2 linked regions of the Tamandua tetradactyla genome follow. The protein of the gene in region 1 binds, or shares a complex with, the protein of each later gene. Links are inferred from orthologs where the notes say so. Each region holds a gene or a part of one and is shown on either strand. Other genes may lie near its edges. The genes, in order: POLR3D and POLR3K.

The links.
Region 2: POLR3D (region 1) and POLR3K share a complex: the UniProt entries of both Homo sapiens proteins name them as parts of the RNA polymerase III complex. The link is inferred for Tamandua tetradactyla from reciprocal best matches to the Homo sapiens genes POLR3D and POLR3K.

What each region holds. Positions count from the first base shown.
Region 1 is NC_135329.1:22,877,708-22,885,438, reverse strand, and holds the start of POLR3D (DNA-directed RNA polymerase III subunit RPC4), read right to left. Parts: upstream 3,442-7,731; 5' UTR 3,315-3,441; intron 3,055-3,314; 5' UTR 3,050-3,054; coding exon 2,885-3,049; intron 1,980-2,884; coding exon 1,936-1,979; intron 1,342-1,935; coding exon 1,190-1,341; intron 1,029-1,189; coding exon 904-1,028; intron 558-903; coding exon 389-557; intron 18-388; coding exon 1-17. UniProt on the Homo sapiens protein: DNA-dependent RNA polymerase catalyzes the transcription of DNA into RNA using the four ribonucleoside triphosphates as substrates.
Region 2 is NC_135349.1:57,276,701-57,284,962, forward strand, and holds the start of POLR3K (DNA-directed RNA polymerase III subunit RPC10), read left to right. Parts: upstream 1-4,985; coding exon 4,986-5,096; intron 5,097-7,985; coding exon 7,986-8,073; intron 8,074-8,262. Other genes in the region: RHBDF1 (inactive rhomboid protein 1), read left to right, coding at 279-373, 554-629, 697-797, 909-1,062, 1,231-1,650; SNRNP25 (U11/U12 small nuclear ribonucleoprotein 25 kDa protein), read right to left, coding at 2,708-2,765, 3,148-3,222, 3,596-3,701, 3,844-3,934, 4,532-4,573. UniProt on the Homo sapiens protein: Core component of RNA polymerase III (Pol III) which synthesizes small non-coding RNAs using the four ribonucleoside triphosphates as substrates. Can mediate Pol I proofreading of the nascent RNA transcript.

The sequences.
Region 1 (7,731 bases):
TCGTGGCTCCTCTTTCACTGCCCAGGGTAATACAAATAGAAGGGCTATCATGCAACTACCTTCTCTGTCATCCCGTAACCATCCCTTCCCCTACATCTGCTCCACTGTCACTCAGACAGGAAGATGGAGTGAGACTCTAGTTATGGAGGACAAGAGACAGAACATTCAAGAGTTATGTGGCTTATTTAAAAAGGGATTTAGGGTCCACTGATCCATGTCAGCACTTAAAGCCTCAGAGAATGAGAATTTAGCATTTTATTTCAGGTTATACATTTTATAACTGGGATGGAAGAGGACCTACTTATTAATAACAGTTTGTTAGGTTCTATACAGACTTCTGAGGGGTGGCCAAAGAAAAGGCAATGAGAAGTTAACTGACACAGAATACCTTTCATAACAGGGACATCCACTTCCATGTCCTCTTCCTTGGGACCAGCCAGCAAAGGTTTAACATCTGGTTCTTCATTCTCTTCCTTAAAAAGCCACCCTGAGTGAGCCAGAGGCAACTGCACAGGCATGTTTCGAGTGTCATTCCTCAGCCCAGGGTCATCGATGAACTGCCAAAGAGTCAGAGAGGTCACAAAGAGCTAGACCAGTAGTTATACTGGAATCCACTCGAGTTCTTTTCTAATCAGAGTCCTGCTGCTCAACAGGACATCAAAAAGCTCATCTTCTGAATATGCAACTATGTGATGATATTGTGAATTACTGATTATATATGTAGAACAGAATGATCATATGTTAAGAATGTTTGTTTCTTATCATACTTCAAAAAAAATTTTTTTTAATTAATAAAAAAATTAACAACAACAACAATGCTCATCTTCTTCTAACTCTTGCTCCCCAAAAGTTCTTTTCCACAGCCACACAGAAGCCCTTTCTCCCCAGTTCCCTGGTACCTACGTCATCCTTTTCCAGCATGCGCAGGATTTGTTTTGTTTCTTCATCCGTCTCCCTCTTCTCTTTTTTGATGTTGATGATATGAGAAGGCCCCATGTCTGACACATCCACTGTTTTATCCCAATTCCCTGTGGGAAATCACCCAATTCACCAAGGATAAAGAAGATGCCAGCAACAAGGAAAACTAACTGGAAGCAAGGAAATAACATTGTCTTTGTCCTTCTCTTAAGCATTCTGAACTGAAATCCTCCATCCATTCCTTCCTCCCAGAGCCCCAACAGTCTTATACCTTTTTTCTTCATCATTTCAGCTGGGCCCTGCTCAAAGATGGAGTGGGACTGGATCACTTCTGGACGACCCCGGCCCCGTCCATGCCCTTCTCGCTGTCGGTCTCTATCTCTTTCACGCTTCTCCTTTTTGACAGTTACTTCTTCCTTTGGCCTGGAAAAGGGAGTGGATTAAAAGAAACCACTCACTCACCCTGCCTCAGAGAACTGGCCTAACTCTCTCATACCATTCCACTCTAACTGAGCAGCGCGTTTATAAGCCAACAACTTCATTATAAGGTGGAGAACCCAATCCTCAGTCTCAGTTTTTCACTTGCTCAATAGGGCAGGGTCCTGTTTTCTTTACTTTAATTTTTGTTAACAGTATATATCAGAATCATAACTCAAAACCTGAACTATAGAAGCTACCCCCAAATGTAGATTTTTTTGCACTGACTGAAAACAGGAAGGTTATAATGGTAAGGAACTTAAGGGATAACTTGATACATCTTTGTCTAAACTGGTGGTTCTTATCTCTGGCTATATATGAGAATCACTCCATTCCACTGCTAACAAGTTAAATCACGATTTTTAGGGATAGAGTCTTATGCATCATTTTTTTAAAGGCTTGTACATAAGAATCACCTGGGAGCCAGGGTTGAAACTCCTAAGTTTAAGTTCTTGAGCCACATATCTAGTTGTATCCCAGAATCCCCAAATTCAGAGAATGTAAATCAGGGGTAGTTATTCAGAAAGCCTAGCTACTTACTCTTCCTTAATCTTCCGACTGATGATGTTTGGGGTGAAGGTTTTCTGAAAGTAAAATACAGGAGTCACTGATTTGATAAGTTCTGACCCCAAAGTACAGACGAAAAGAAAAATTACCAAAGGGCATCTTTTAAGGACCAAGATCACCATGGTTCTCTTACACATATTGGAAACTGTTGTCAGGGATTTAGAGATGGGAACATACCCGAAAAGAAGGAACATCAGCAGTGGATTTACCTAGATAAATGGGATAAGTGGTATTCCAGTGGATGACTGGATACCAAAGTCATTTTTAACTAGAAGCCTCAGCTTGTGTCCCCTAAAAGGAGTGCCTCCTGGGCTTCTAAAAGCGAAGAAACTTATCTAGTCTCACCTCTTGTCTTCAAACAGCTTTAGAGACCAGTCAGTTTCATAGGAAAACAGCTCTAGCAGCAAGGTTCAAGATAGTTAGAATTCTACCACCAGAATTCTCCAAGACAAAATTAAGTCCTTCACAACAGGCTATTTTATGCTTCTGTCATTTTTTTCCCTCTTCAGGGCTACATTTAATTTACATCAATAAGCACTAACATAATGGCCAAGGATACAAAGCATCTAATGTCATGTTTGATTCATTATGCTTGCTTTTCATGGGCTTCTCAAAGGTGTCCGAAATATACAGTAAAAGAAACACGCTCAAATTGCCTCTGAACGTCTTGGACTAATGAGGATCCTCTGCCCTCCAGCCACTCTGGGAATTCTCTCAACACCTTGTTCCAAACAACTAGACTTGAAGGTACAACAGGCTTCCCAGCACTGAAAGACGAATAAGCAGAAGTCTAGGCACAAGATTCTTACGGGGTCCACACGAGCCCTGGCACACAGTAGGCCCTATATGAATACTATTTGAATCTCAGGGGGCTTGTATTCAAGATAGTTGAGTTTCTCTGCAAAAAGGTGATGTCGGGTACCTTCTTGACTCCCCCGAGGGTGAGGTCCCTGGAACGGATGGAGGGAAGACGGCCCGGGGTAAGGGGGGGCGCCGGCCGCCTCCCGATAAGCCCCCGGGCCCCAGAGAGAAGAGGTCGGGGACCTCCCGGGGTGCTGGGCTCGCCCGCGGCGTTTCCTTCCGACATGTTGCCTGGGAGAGAAGGGGGAAAAGGGGGGAAAGGAGCAACGAGGTCACTCGACGGGTTGGACACGCGAACCGTGGGCGGAACCCCACCCACGTGGCTCCCGCCCCCCAGTCAGTGCGTCCCTGCGGACGCGCATCAGCTCCTCCCCCTCCCACGTGGCGAGACTCCCTGGACCACCCGGCTCAAGGCTTTGGCTCTCGATCTTAGCCTGTCGCGACTCGCCGTCTCCCTAGGGGGTCTGGCCAGGCCTGAGTCAGGGACGCACCCTAGAGCACCCGAACTGCGACTCCACACCACGCGCGTCACTTCACCTCCGCCGCCGCCCGTAGCGGGCCCTCAGTTTCCACGCTGGGCGGAAGTCTGCGTGGCAGCGCCCGGGCGCCGCCATCTTGCCGCGGGGCGGAAGTGAGGTTCGGTGGGCGGGGCCGGGCCACAGTATTTATCAAGCGGCGCCTCGCGCAGCTCTGCCTTCTCTTCCCGGTTCTTCCCGGAGTCGGGAAAAGCTGGGTTGAGAGGGCGAAAAAGGATGAGGGGTTGGGTCTAGGTTCCGCCACGGTGCAGCGCTCGGGGGTCCGGCCTGGGGCGGGGAGTGGAGGCGCCGAGCTCAGGGTCTGGGGCGCTGCTCAGGGTCTGGGGCGCTGGCGGTCGCCAGAGCACAATGTGGGAATCAGCCGCCTCGGAGCAGTTGGGGTCGCGCTTCGGGGTGGGGCGAGGGGCGCGGGGCAGAGAGCGAGACCTGGACTCGAAGTCGGGGGAACCCAGGCCAGAACCCAGGCCCGCGCCGGGCCGTAGCAGTCTCCATTGCGGCCGCGGGCTCTGGATGGTGACCTTGGAGTGGTCACTGCACCTCTAGGCAGTGGCCTCGCCCTCGCTCCGACGACCCTTCTCTGAACTCCTGGTAGGGTCGTGGGGTGGGGCTGTGCGAGGTTGGCGAAGCAGCTGCCGCGGGCAAGCCAGGTGCCCAGTAGCACCCAGGCTGGGCTTAGGGCTGCGTGCGCCTGTGCTTGCATGGAACCTGAAAGTTTGCTCTGCAGGAGGGGCGAATGTAAAGAACTTTTACTGTGACTCTAGCGCTTGTGGTTTAACGTAAAAATAAATAATGTGCTCCCTCACACACACACCGTATAAAAAACCATGTAACAACGTTACAGAAAGTTTGGGGAAAGGAAAACATTTCTATTAGAATTCCACCTAGAATACTGCTATCAAAATGTGTGTAATATATTTCACGCTTCCGTCATATTGTCCCACAATTCTGTATCCTCCTTTTTCAAATAACATTTCTTTGTTGTTGTATCCAAATGATTTAGATATTCTCCGTGGAGTGGATATATCATTATGTCCGATTTCCCTATTATTTGAACATTCGATTGTTTCACTCTTTGTTGTAAATAATGCTTCTTTGAACATTGGGTGCATTCAACATTCTTCTTTGGAATTGTTTCCTTAGCACAAATCTCCAGACCTGGGATTAGTGGCCTAAAGAGTACTTGCAGTTTTTTAGAAGTCATCTTTTTATTTTGAGATAATGGTAGACGCATGTAGTCTTAAGAAATAGTGCTGAGAGATCCCAAGTATTGCTTACTTAGTTTGCCTCAATAGTAGCGTCTTATAAAACAATAGTGCAATATCACACTCAGAATATTGACGCTGATATAGTCTAGACACAAAACATTTCCATCACCGCAAGTATCTCTTGTTTCGCCCTTTCATAGCCACATCCATTTCACCACCATCCCCCTCCCTGGTAACTATTAATCTGCTCTCCATTTCTATAATTTGGTTATTTCAAGAATATTATGTAACTATTCTATATAACTTCTTAAAATTGCTTTTTCCACTCAACAAAATTCCCTGGAGATTTTCCAATTTGTTGCATGCAACAGTAGTTCCTTATTATTTATTGCTGAGTATCCATAGTATGGCTGTATCAGTTTCTTTCATCATTCACCCTTTGAAGGATATCTGGCTATAGCAAATAAAACTGCTGTGAACAGGTCGTTGCCAGTTTGGGGCGTTAGAAATAAAGCTGCTGTGTATGGGTTTTTGTGTAAACATAACGTTTTTCATTTCTCTGGGATAAATGCCTAAGAGTATAATTAATGGGTCATATGGTAGTTGCATGCTCAATTTTATAAAAAACTGCCAAACTGTTTTCCACAGTGGCTATACTATTATGAACATGAGCATTTTGTGGTTCTTCATCCATGTTATAAATTTCTTTCAAAATGTTTGTGCATCACCACTAAAAAATGTGCGTATACATATACATAATTTACCACATCATTTTGAGTTAAAATTTTTAAACTTCATTTTTACCAATTTAACAATATATTAATATTATATTACTATTTTGTTATGTTGGTTTCTATCCAGATTTTTTCAATATCTTTTCTCCATATTAGTTGTATGATAACCAAACCAAACGAAAACCCTTCCTGTTCCCTACAGAGCTACACATAACAGCCCTCGGTTTCCTTTTTAAAAAAATTTATTATATTTTATTTATTTATTTATTTGTTTGTTTGTTTGTTTTAGCCCTGAGTCTCTGACTGGAGTACCAGATGAAATTGCTCCAGTTTGTTTCTCTGGACTTTGAGGTTCACCAAGCTTTTAGCAGCTCTTAAATTTTTGTTTTGTTTTGTTTTTACAAAGATGCTTATTCACTGATCAGTTACAGGTTTATGATATGAGAATAAACCAGTTGCTGGTAAGAAGCACAATTTATCTGATTGTGAGGCTTCAAATAAAATGTGTTTGAGTCCCTAAGAAGCAAACACTGTGTGGTCCTGTGAACTGTATTCCCAACAACATTTCAAGAACTCTGAGTCTTGTTTCATTTTTTATTGTATTATCCCTTAATGTCAGCTGATGGAGTAAAATAAAAGTATAGTTCAACCTGAAAAAAAAAAAAAGATGCTTATTCATTGTAGGAAATTCTGAAAATTTTAAAAGGCAGAGAATTAAAATCTGCTAATGTTATACCATCACCTGTTTTGTATACTTGAAGCTGTTTTTCCTATGCATGTATTTTTTTAGGTTGAGTTATTTCATATATGGTTCTATAATTTGCCTTCACCATTCTGCTTTCTTTCTTTACTTAATCCCAGAGCTCTCTGTTTTCTCTGAAGTGTTCATTCTTTTATCTAGCCTCAAGCTTGTAAATTATTAGCCACAGAAGCCTATGTAACATATGAGTCTAGCAGATATTTTTATTATCAACATTTTATTGCATTTTATTTACATATATCTTATAGGAAAAGACAATAACCATTCTTTTCTGATAGATAATGAAACTAGTAGTCGAACTCTTGGGAACATTTCATAATTTTCTGGGTCTAAATACAGGTTTTAGAAGGTCTAAACAGTTTCTGTCAAAAGCCAATTCCTGTGAATTCGTGATGGGCATTGAAAATACTAAATGAATAAGCAACTGCTTTGAATATGTATTAGTAGAATAAAGGGAATATATAGTAGGAGAGCAGTACCTAAGATTGGGCTATTACATGTTCTCGACATGAAATTTACCCTAATTTGATTCATTTTGGAGGCCATTCCTTCTCATTCTCCTTTCTTGGTTCCTCAACTCTTCAGCCTCTTAATATGGGAAAATTTTAGGATTCAGTTCTTGGAACTCCTCCCTTATTTTCCTGGCTTCAAACCGTGTACGTTTACAAATAGCTCTTAAATATGTATCTCCAGCCTAGAACTCTCTGAACTCCAGAGGTATATCTCTGCCTATTTCAGCCTTAACTAAGATATTTGCTAGGGTTCTTAAATTTATGTTTAAGTTCAAACTTTTGATCTTCCTCCTCAAACTTCCCAAAGTTTTTGCATCTTAGGAAAATGGCCACACCATCCTTCTGGTTGTTCAGGTTAAAAAAAAAAAATTCCTCTTTTTTTAACTCCTCTATTTCTCTCAGGCCTAACATTTTTTTATGGCAGCTCTACCTTCCAAATATATCCAGAATCTTACTACGTCTCACCCTTCAGTGACACACTACCCTGCTCGAGGCCACCATCACATCTTTTGTTGAGATTATTACAGTAGCTTCCAACTGGCCTCCCTGCTTCCACCTGGGCCCTCGGTCTAGTCTCAATAGAGCATAAGTAATATATTTCACAGCAGATCATGTCTCAACTTCCCAGTGGCCTCCCATTTCAGAGTGAACACCAGGGCTTTCTGCAAAGCCCTGCATAAGGTGCCCCTCCATCTGTCATCTCCCTGGCCACCATTCCTGCCACACTCCCCTCACTGACTGCTCCTGCCACGCTGGCCTCCTTGCTGTTTCTGGAAGAGATCAGGCGTGTTCCTCCTCCAGGGCTTCTGCACCTGCTACCTGGAATGCTCTAGAGCCCACCACATACTTCTGCACAGCTCACTTTCTCCCTTCATCCAGGTCTATTACTCCAAAGTCACTTTTGACATTTTGTCTTCAAAGTTGTAACTCCCACTCCCCCATGACATCACCTGTCTTATTTACTGACCGACTTTTCTCCATAGCATTTATTACCACCTGATAAATACAGACTTTTAAAATTCATTAACTCTGGTAGTAACTAGATGTACAAAGTTAAAAATGTTTTTTTTGCATGAGGAAGAACAAAGGAATGTCAGTGTTGCAGGGTGTTGAAAGTAGATGGTAGTTCGTATTTTAAAACTTTAACTTATGTGTGAGACA
Region 2 (8,262 bases), on another chromosome or scaffold:
CCCAATCTCAGCAGCACTCACGGACCCAAATGCCAAAGCCCTGGGCTTCACCCAGGCTGGCCCCCTGTGCCTGAGCAGGTGAGCTTTGCACTCGGGAGGCCACGCAGCACTGTTGCAGTTTGACAGATGGGCCAACTGGGGCTCAGGGCGCAGTGGCCTGCTTGAAGCACTGGGAGGCCTGTGAACCTGCCCCCTAACTTTGTTCCCTGCTCCAAGCATGGTTTGGGGCCCAAGGCTGGGGACAGCCCTGACCCACCTCATCCCCACCTGCGACCCAGATCTGCACCAAAAGCAGCGCCGGAAACCACACCAACCACCCGCACATGGACTGCGCCATCACAGGCCGGCCCTGCTGCATCGGCACCAAGGGCAGGTGTGTGGTGCACATGCACAAGTGGGCCCTGGGCTCAGAGCATGGCCTTGGGGCTGGGCCCTCCCTCACTCACCTGAAATTCAGGCAGGATTCCAAGGGGACCTGGGCGAAGCTGGAGGGTGGGACGGGAGCAGGCCCCCTCTGCACAGTGACACCCTCTACTGCGGCCTGACTTTCCAGGTGTGAGATCACCTCCCGGGAGTACTGTGACTTCATGAGGGGCTACTTCCACGAGGAGGCCACACTCTGCTCTCAGGTAGGCCTCAGGTGGGTGGGCGGGGGTGCCCCTTCCCCACTCCAACACTGATGGCTGCTCTGGGCAGGTCCACTGCATGGACGACGTGTGTGGGCTCCTACCCTTCCTCAACCCTGAAGTGCCCGACCAGTTCTACCGCCTGTGGCTGTCACTATTCCTGCACGCTGGGCAAGTGCTGCCGTCGGGCTGGGCAGGGCTGGACAAGTGGGACCAGGGGCTGGGATGGGGCCAAGGTGGCCCGGACACCCTCCCTGCTGAGTGCCTCGCTCCTGCCCGCAGGGTCCTGCACTGCCTGGTTTCCATCTGCTTCCAGATGACCATCCTGCGGGACTTGGAGAAGCTGGCAGGCTGGCACCGCATCTCCATCATCTACCTGCTAAGTGGCATCACTGGCAACCTGGCCAGTGCCATCTTCCTGCCATACCGGGCCGAGGTGAGCTGTCCCCTCAGGGCGGGGACCCTCTGCTGGGCTCTGCAGTCCTGCTGTGCTTCGGGCCATGTGAGGTGGCGCTTGAGATGAGGCCCGGGGCACAGGGCATCTGCTCAGCTGGGATGGGCCCGGGAATGCCACAGCCAGCTCATGGCCGCCCTGCTCTCCCAGGTGGGCCCAGCGGGCTCGCAGTTCGGCATCCTGGCCTGCCTCTTCGTAGAGCTCTTCCAGAGCTGGCAGATCTTGGCGCGGCCCTGGCGTGCCTTCTTCAAGCTGCTGGCCGTGGTACTCTCGCTCTTTACCTTTGGGCTGCTGCCTTGGATCGATAACTTTGCCCACATCTCAGGCTTTGTCAGCGGCCTCTTCCTCTCCTTCGCCTTCCTGCCCTACATCAGCTTCGGCAAATTCGATCTGTACCGTAAGCGCTGCCAGATCATCGTGTTCCAGGTGGTCTTTGTGGGCCTCCTGGCCGGCCTGGTGGTCCTTTTCTATGTCTACCCTGTCCGCTGCGAGTGGTGCGAGCTCCTCACCTGCATCCCCTTCACCGACAAGTTCTGTGAAAAGTACGAGCTGGATGCGCAGCTCCACTGAGCCAGGCTGCAGGCTGGCCTCCCAGCAGGCCGGAGACAGGAGGCACGCACGCCCCAGCTGTGCAGGCTGTGGACCTGCTGCCTCCGAGCCGGACTCGATGTTCTCCACACACACACCTCGGTGCCTTGTTTAACCCCTCGTGCTATTGGGGTTTATTACCAGTTCTTGCAACTACCTTTTAACTAGTCTCTTGACGACCACCTCATGTGGCCAATAAATGGACTGGGAGCGTTTTAGCTGCCACTAACTTACTATGAATTGTCTCTTCCTTTCTGGTTTCTGGCTGGGCAGCCAGTGAGGTTCCCCAGCCTCCAGGGCCCTCGCCTCCAATGTCCAGTTCCCCAGGACAGGCTCTCCCAGTGAGGTCACAGTGAGGTGAGGGTGGAGCAGGACTGCAGGGACCCGCTGGCATGCCCTCGCCCTGCGGGGGCGCTGCCCCACCTCCCTGCATGTCCAGCTGCTCGTTTCACCACCACCCCTCCACTGAGTCTGAGACTGCTGCTGGGAAAGCCTGTGGGGTTTCTGTGGCTGTATGCCCCACACTACCACTGTGGTCACCAGGACCCAGCCCTTACTCCCCCACTAGCTCAGACAGATGGTACCCGTCTTCTGTTCCCTCCCCACCACACAGGCAACGGGAACAGGGCTATATGGTCGGGGGAACAGGTGTGCAGTCTTGGGCCTCACCCCTCCTCATTCCCAGTCCCTCCTGCTTAAGGTACAGTTGCCTTTTTGAATTTTCAAACTAAAAAGCAGATTTATTTTGTATACAAAGCTGGGCCCACAGGCTTCTAGGATCCACCAGGCCATCGGGATGTCTGGGCCCAGGGAGGGGTCAGCTTGGCCAACCCAAGCAGGAGAGGAGTGCCTGGGCCTGGGCCTGAGCTGCCCATCCCAGAGGGCCCTGCTGACAGCCCCATGGGGGAGGGGGAGGAGGCAGAACCCACCTGGGGTGATGCCACCTCAACCTGCCTCTGAAAATGGACGGTGACTTAAGGGCTCTTTCCTGCAGAAAAAGCCTGGCCACCAGTGAACAAAGCTGCCCTAGTCCAGTGGTTCATTTTTGCCTCAGCTTTTTGATGAAGGAGACCTCATCCCGGTTCCGGATACCATAACTGAAAGAGAAGGAAAGAGGGCCGTGTTGGACCTACACAAAACTCCTCAGGGGCTCCCACCTGAGCTCCTGAGAGGCTCATCTAGGACAGTCCACATGTCCGTCCTCCCGCAGCCCCACTCTTCTCCATGCACATGCAGCCCCCCAGCACGCACTCCTCATGCTGGTGAGATCTGCAGTGCACTCAAATCTGCTCCTCTGCCTGTCCTCCACAACGCGGGAGGGCTAAGACCCAGCTCCCTGGAAGCACCCCAGGACTTCTGCTGACCCCACAGGACTTCTTGGGAAGGCAACAGCACCCACGTGCTCTTGGCTCTCCCCTAGGAGGGGTCCTGGAGGCAAGAACCAATCTTCCCAGTGGTGAAGATGCAGCCTGAACTTACTCTCGGAGCTTCTTCCTGTCCTCTGTGAGCTTCTCCCCTGCGGACGTCAAGTGGTACGTCCTCCACACGTAGGACCTGCGGGAGGGACGCAGGTGAATGCCTGCTGCCTCAGCCCTTTGGGACCCGCAGCGGCCTGCCTCTCCTTCTGTGCTATTCCTGCACCACGTGCGCCCCTCCAAGTAGCTCCAAGGAGGTGCTGCTCTCAAAAGACCAAACACCCTCGGCTGCAGAACCAGGCAAGGAAGGGAGGGGCTGCCAGCAGACAGCAGCACCACCAGGAGCCCAGATGAGGATGGCGCAGATGAGGAAGAACTGCCCGAGCTTCTTGGGGCAGGGAGTGCGTCCCTCGCCGCTTTACAGCAGCAGTGCTCACTTGGAGCTGGAGCTACTTCCCCGCCGGCCCACGCCTGCCTCCGAAAGGCTGCCCAGGAGCCACCACCCCACCTACCAGCTGATGTGCTGGATGCCGCCGTCCCGCTCCTGCTTGAGCTGCACGTATCTCTGGATGGCCTTCTTCAAGTCCAGGACCGTGGCGTTCTGCACGACGACCACAGCTGCCACCGGGGACACAAACGGGAGACCGTGGTGGGGACCGACTGTCAGAGCCCACATGCCCTGCCCACCCCTGCTAACAACAAGGCATCCATGCACCACACGTTGTCTCGCCACCTGGCCCTGTGAGGACGGGCCACTTACGCATGACTTCTCCATCCATCTTGCACACACGGACTGTCATTGCCTGTCCATATTCTAGTGCTATCTGGGAATTGACCTCTTCCAAAGTGACCTAGAAAAGACCAAGGGGTGTGTGGGGCCCAGCGCTCCTTCATTACCCCAAACAGCATGAAGGAGAACAAGCTGGCCGTGTCCACACAGTGGTCACCACGTTTTATGAAGGGTAGGGAGGGAAAGGGGGTCTTGCCTGTAAACTAGATTTCCCGCTTACTCGTGTTCCACCCACACATTTACGTTCAAGTTTCAGACTGGACAGAAGCGGTGGGCGTGGGGTGGGGGCCAGGAGTACAGACACAGGAGGATGCGCCCACTCCGGGTCCAGGCCTTTGCTTCCTACAGCCTAAAGGCTGGGCAGGAGAGGACGCCGGGCTGGTCGCTCCACCCGGAGGGCCCTCGGTCACCAGACAGGGCCAGCGTGCGAAGGGTAAGGGGCACCGGCACGCGCACGACCCGAGACGACGGGAGTGTAAATGCACCACTCATGGAGAAGTCAGCTCTGGACTTGTTTGTGCTTAAAGCCTGCCCACCGCGAAGGTTTTCTGTGCACTAACTGCGGCTTTTAAACCTGCTGCGACCGCGCGCCGCGAGCGCCGCCGAGACCCGCGCCCGGGGCCTCCGCCAGCGCGGGCACCTGGGCCCGCCCGCGCACCTGGATGGGGAGGTCGCACAGCAGCGGGTCCTGCACCACCATGGCGAGGCCCTCCTGGAACACGTCCACCGCCTCCGAGTGCGGCAGCGCCTCCTCCTCGTCCTCCTCGTCCTCCGGCGCCAGTGGGCGCGCCCCGACCCCCGCCTCGGCCAGGGCGGCGGGTGCTGGGAGCCGCTCCCGCAGGCTCGCGCGAGGGTGGCAGAGTGCGCACGCGCCGGGACCGCAGCGCGCAGAGCGAGGGAGGCAGGTCATTGGTGCATCTGGAAGACGGGCGGTCATCATAACCAATGACAACCGCAGGACAGTTTGCTGCCCGTCCCACAGGGCGCACGTAAGCGGCGTGTCTATTGGTGAGTTGAAGGACAGGCGGCTGCCAAGGCCAATGAAAGCTCGAGGCCTCGGCACCGACGGGTCCCGGAAGCTGGGGCCGTGGAGACTGCCGGGAGTCGCCGCCATGTTGCTTTTCTGTCCGGGTTGCGGGAACGGGCTGATTGTGGAGGAGGGTCAGCGCTGCCACCGCTTCGCCTGCAACACTTGCCCGTACGTGCACAACATCACCCGCAAGGTGAGTCCCGCAGGCCCGCCGCGCCACGGACACCGGCTTGGTCCCCGCCACCCCCCGTCAGCCCACAGCGCCCTTCCTCCGCTCTCCCCCAGCTTTGGGACTCCCGCGGCCTCCAGCCGCCTCGTACCCCAGGGCCGCCCCCAGGGGCGGGCGCAGCCGCGGCGGTACCCCGACCTTGCTCGCTCGTGCGGCCGCTGCGACGCGGGCCTCCTGGAGGACCCCCACCGCGCCGGGCCTTTGCCCGCTTCCCTCTCCCTGAGGAAGCGCCCTGCAGCTCCCCCGTTATGTCCTCCTCCCGTTTTATTTTTTTCCCCTAGGACTCACCTGCTAACATCCCATATAATTTTTTAAAATTTATTTATTTATTAATTTAAAAAAATTAACAAAAACAACATATTATTCCGTTCTACATATATAATCAGTAATTCACAATATCATCACATAGTTGCATATTATCATGATCATTTCTTGGAACATTTGCATCTATTCAGAAAAAGAAGTAAAACGAAAACAGGAAAAAAAATTTATGCATACCATACCCCTTACCCCTCCCTTTCATTGTTCACTAGTATTTCAAACAATCAATTTTAACATTTGTTCCCCCTATTGTTTATTTTTATTCCATATGTTCTACTCGTTTGTTGACAAGGTAGATAAAAGGAGCATCAGACACAAGGTTTTCACAATCACACAGTCCCATTGTGACAGCTGTATCATTATTCAATCATCCTCAAGAAACATGGCTACTGGAACACAGCTCTACATTTTCAGGCAGTTCCCTCTAGCCTCTCCATTACATCTCGGATAACAAGGTGATATCTACTTAATGCGTAAGAATAACCTCCAGGATAACCTCTCAACTCTGTTTGGAATCTCTCAGCCACTGACACTTTGTCTCATTTCGCTCTTCCCCCTTTTGGTCGAGAAGGTTTTCTCAATCCCTTGATGCTGAGTCTCAGCTCATTGGAGGCTTTTTTTTTTACTTTTTATTTTTCTCCTCTCTCTCTCCTTTTGTTTTAAAATTCTATAATATAACATATTTGTTGTATTTGGTTTGTAGTGTTTTATTGTGTTTTACATTTCATTAATAACATGATGTTGAGGTGACGTGAGGTACCCATTAGCTCTTTTGCCCATTTTGTAATATGCCCATTTTGTTTTCTTATTGTTGAGTTTTCAACACCTTTACTTTTTAGAGTAGAGCACGTTCGTGCTATCTCATTTTCCTTTTTTTCTTTTAAACAGATAAATACATAATTTATCGTTGTCTTCATTTCCATTAGAATACATTCCTGGCATTTGCACCTCTACCATTTCTAGAAGTGGGTATTCTATTTACGTGTAGGTTTCACCTCTTAGAGGTTAGAAATTTAAGAATAATTATTAATGCGATAATTTACTTAGGTACTGATTTTCCCTGAGCACAGGATTAAATATCCCAAACTAAATTTATAACAACATTTTGTTGCGGCTTCATATTTTACTTTCTTCTTTTAGTGAAACCTGGACTTTAAGATGTGATCTTAGAATCTGCAAGTACTGAAGCATAGTTGGATTGAAAATGAACTTCAAGCCATTTTACTGTATAATCAAGACACATCATCCCATCTAAGTCTTTACTTGATCTAAAGTCCTGATATTGATAAGCTTTCGTCTATTACTAATATCCCTTCTCATTAGTAAAATAAAGTGTTATCCGAGCAGATTATCTTAAGTTAAATGCATTTTAAGTTTCTCTAATTTTTTTCTTATCAGCTCTTAGTAATAATTTTTGCTTCCTGTAGGAGGGAGAGTCCTGGAGTGGTTTATTCAGTATACACTGTTATTAATTAATTAGCTCTGTAAACTTCATCAGTTAATTAAGTTCACCTTTCAGAACTTCCTGTTTCTGATCTATAATGTGAGGAGAGTCCTTAAGGTCTCTTCTAGTTCTAACATAAAATTATAAAGACCCAAATTATGTAAATTTGTACATTTATAAATTTCCTTTTAAAACATTTTCAACACAGCCTTATAAAACATGACACAATTTGTTACAAAATTGTGAAGCACTACAAATTACTTTCTTTGGAGTCTTACTGATAAAGTCAGTAAATACACTTATTTTATAAAGGCTTTTTCAAATGTATTGAAATAAAGCCGAAAACCAAGACACTGTAATTGATTATAATAAATATTGTTGCTAGGGACTATATAGATTTTTGCTGCTTAAGACATCTCTCATCACAAAATGATATAAAACCAGTGTTTTTATTAAATATGTAAACTTATCTGAAATTTATTTAGTATCTGATGCTTGTGAAAAATTCCTTTTAAATACATTTAATTTCAGTGGGAGAAAATAGAGAATCTTGATTTTCTTGACATCGTTGGTTATCTCATTCTTCTTAATGTTTGCAAACTACTTAACCATAAGCAATAGAGTCCAAAACTCGTGTAAACCCGAAGTTCCAAGGATGTCTGATAAAAGCCAAGCATAGACTGCTTCGGAAACTCTGTGCAGGGAGTGACCAGTTTACCCCACTAAGTGGTGCTCTTTGTTTTTGAAGTTTGGTTGTATTTGTTGCTCTCATTTTGAGTTATACCCTGGAGGGGTGGGAGAGGAGGAAGGCCTGTCTGAAGCCATTCTTTCTTCTGCTCTGTGCCTCTCTAATCCATACAGAGCTCTCCTCTACCTGTTGACTCCCACTCCTTGGCTCGGGGTGTGCCCTGATCACAGATTCTCTGAGTTCCAATGTGGTGCCAGGGACTGGTCTGTGAGAGCAGGAACTTTTATCTTCTGACTGTTGAAGGGAGGAAGTCTGGGAAGACACGAGGGCGCTTGTGGTTTGGTGCCCAGGGTTTATACCGTTCACTTACTTTAAGAGTCTGAAACTTGTTGTTTGTTAGGTAACAAGCCGGAAGTATCCAAAGCTGAAAGAAGTGGATGATGTGCTTGGGGGAGCAGCTGCCTGGGAGAATGTTGACTCTACTGCAGGTGAGCGGGGAGACCTTTTCCAGTTCATGAGCGGTGGATAGTATGAGGCTGCCAACTATGCCACTCTGTCTCAGCATTAGTGATGATAGTGTGGGCTTCCAAGAATGGAAAGCAAATTATTGTTTTCCTCCTTTAAAAATGGATTTGTTATACCAACGATATTGATAGAAGCCTTGGAGACATAGAGAC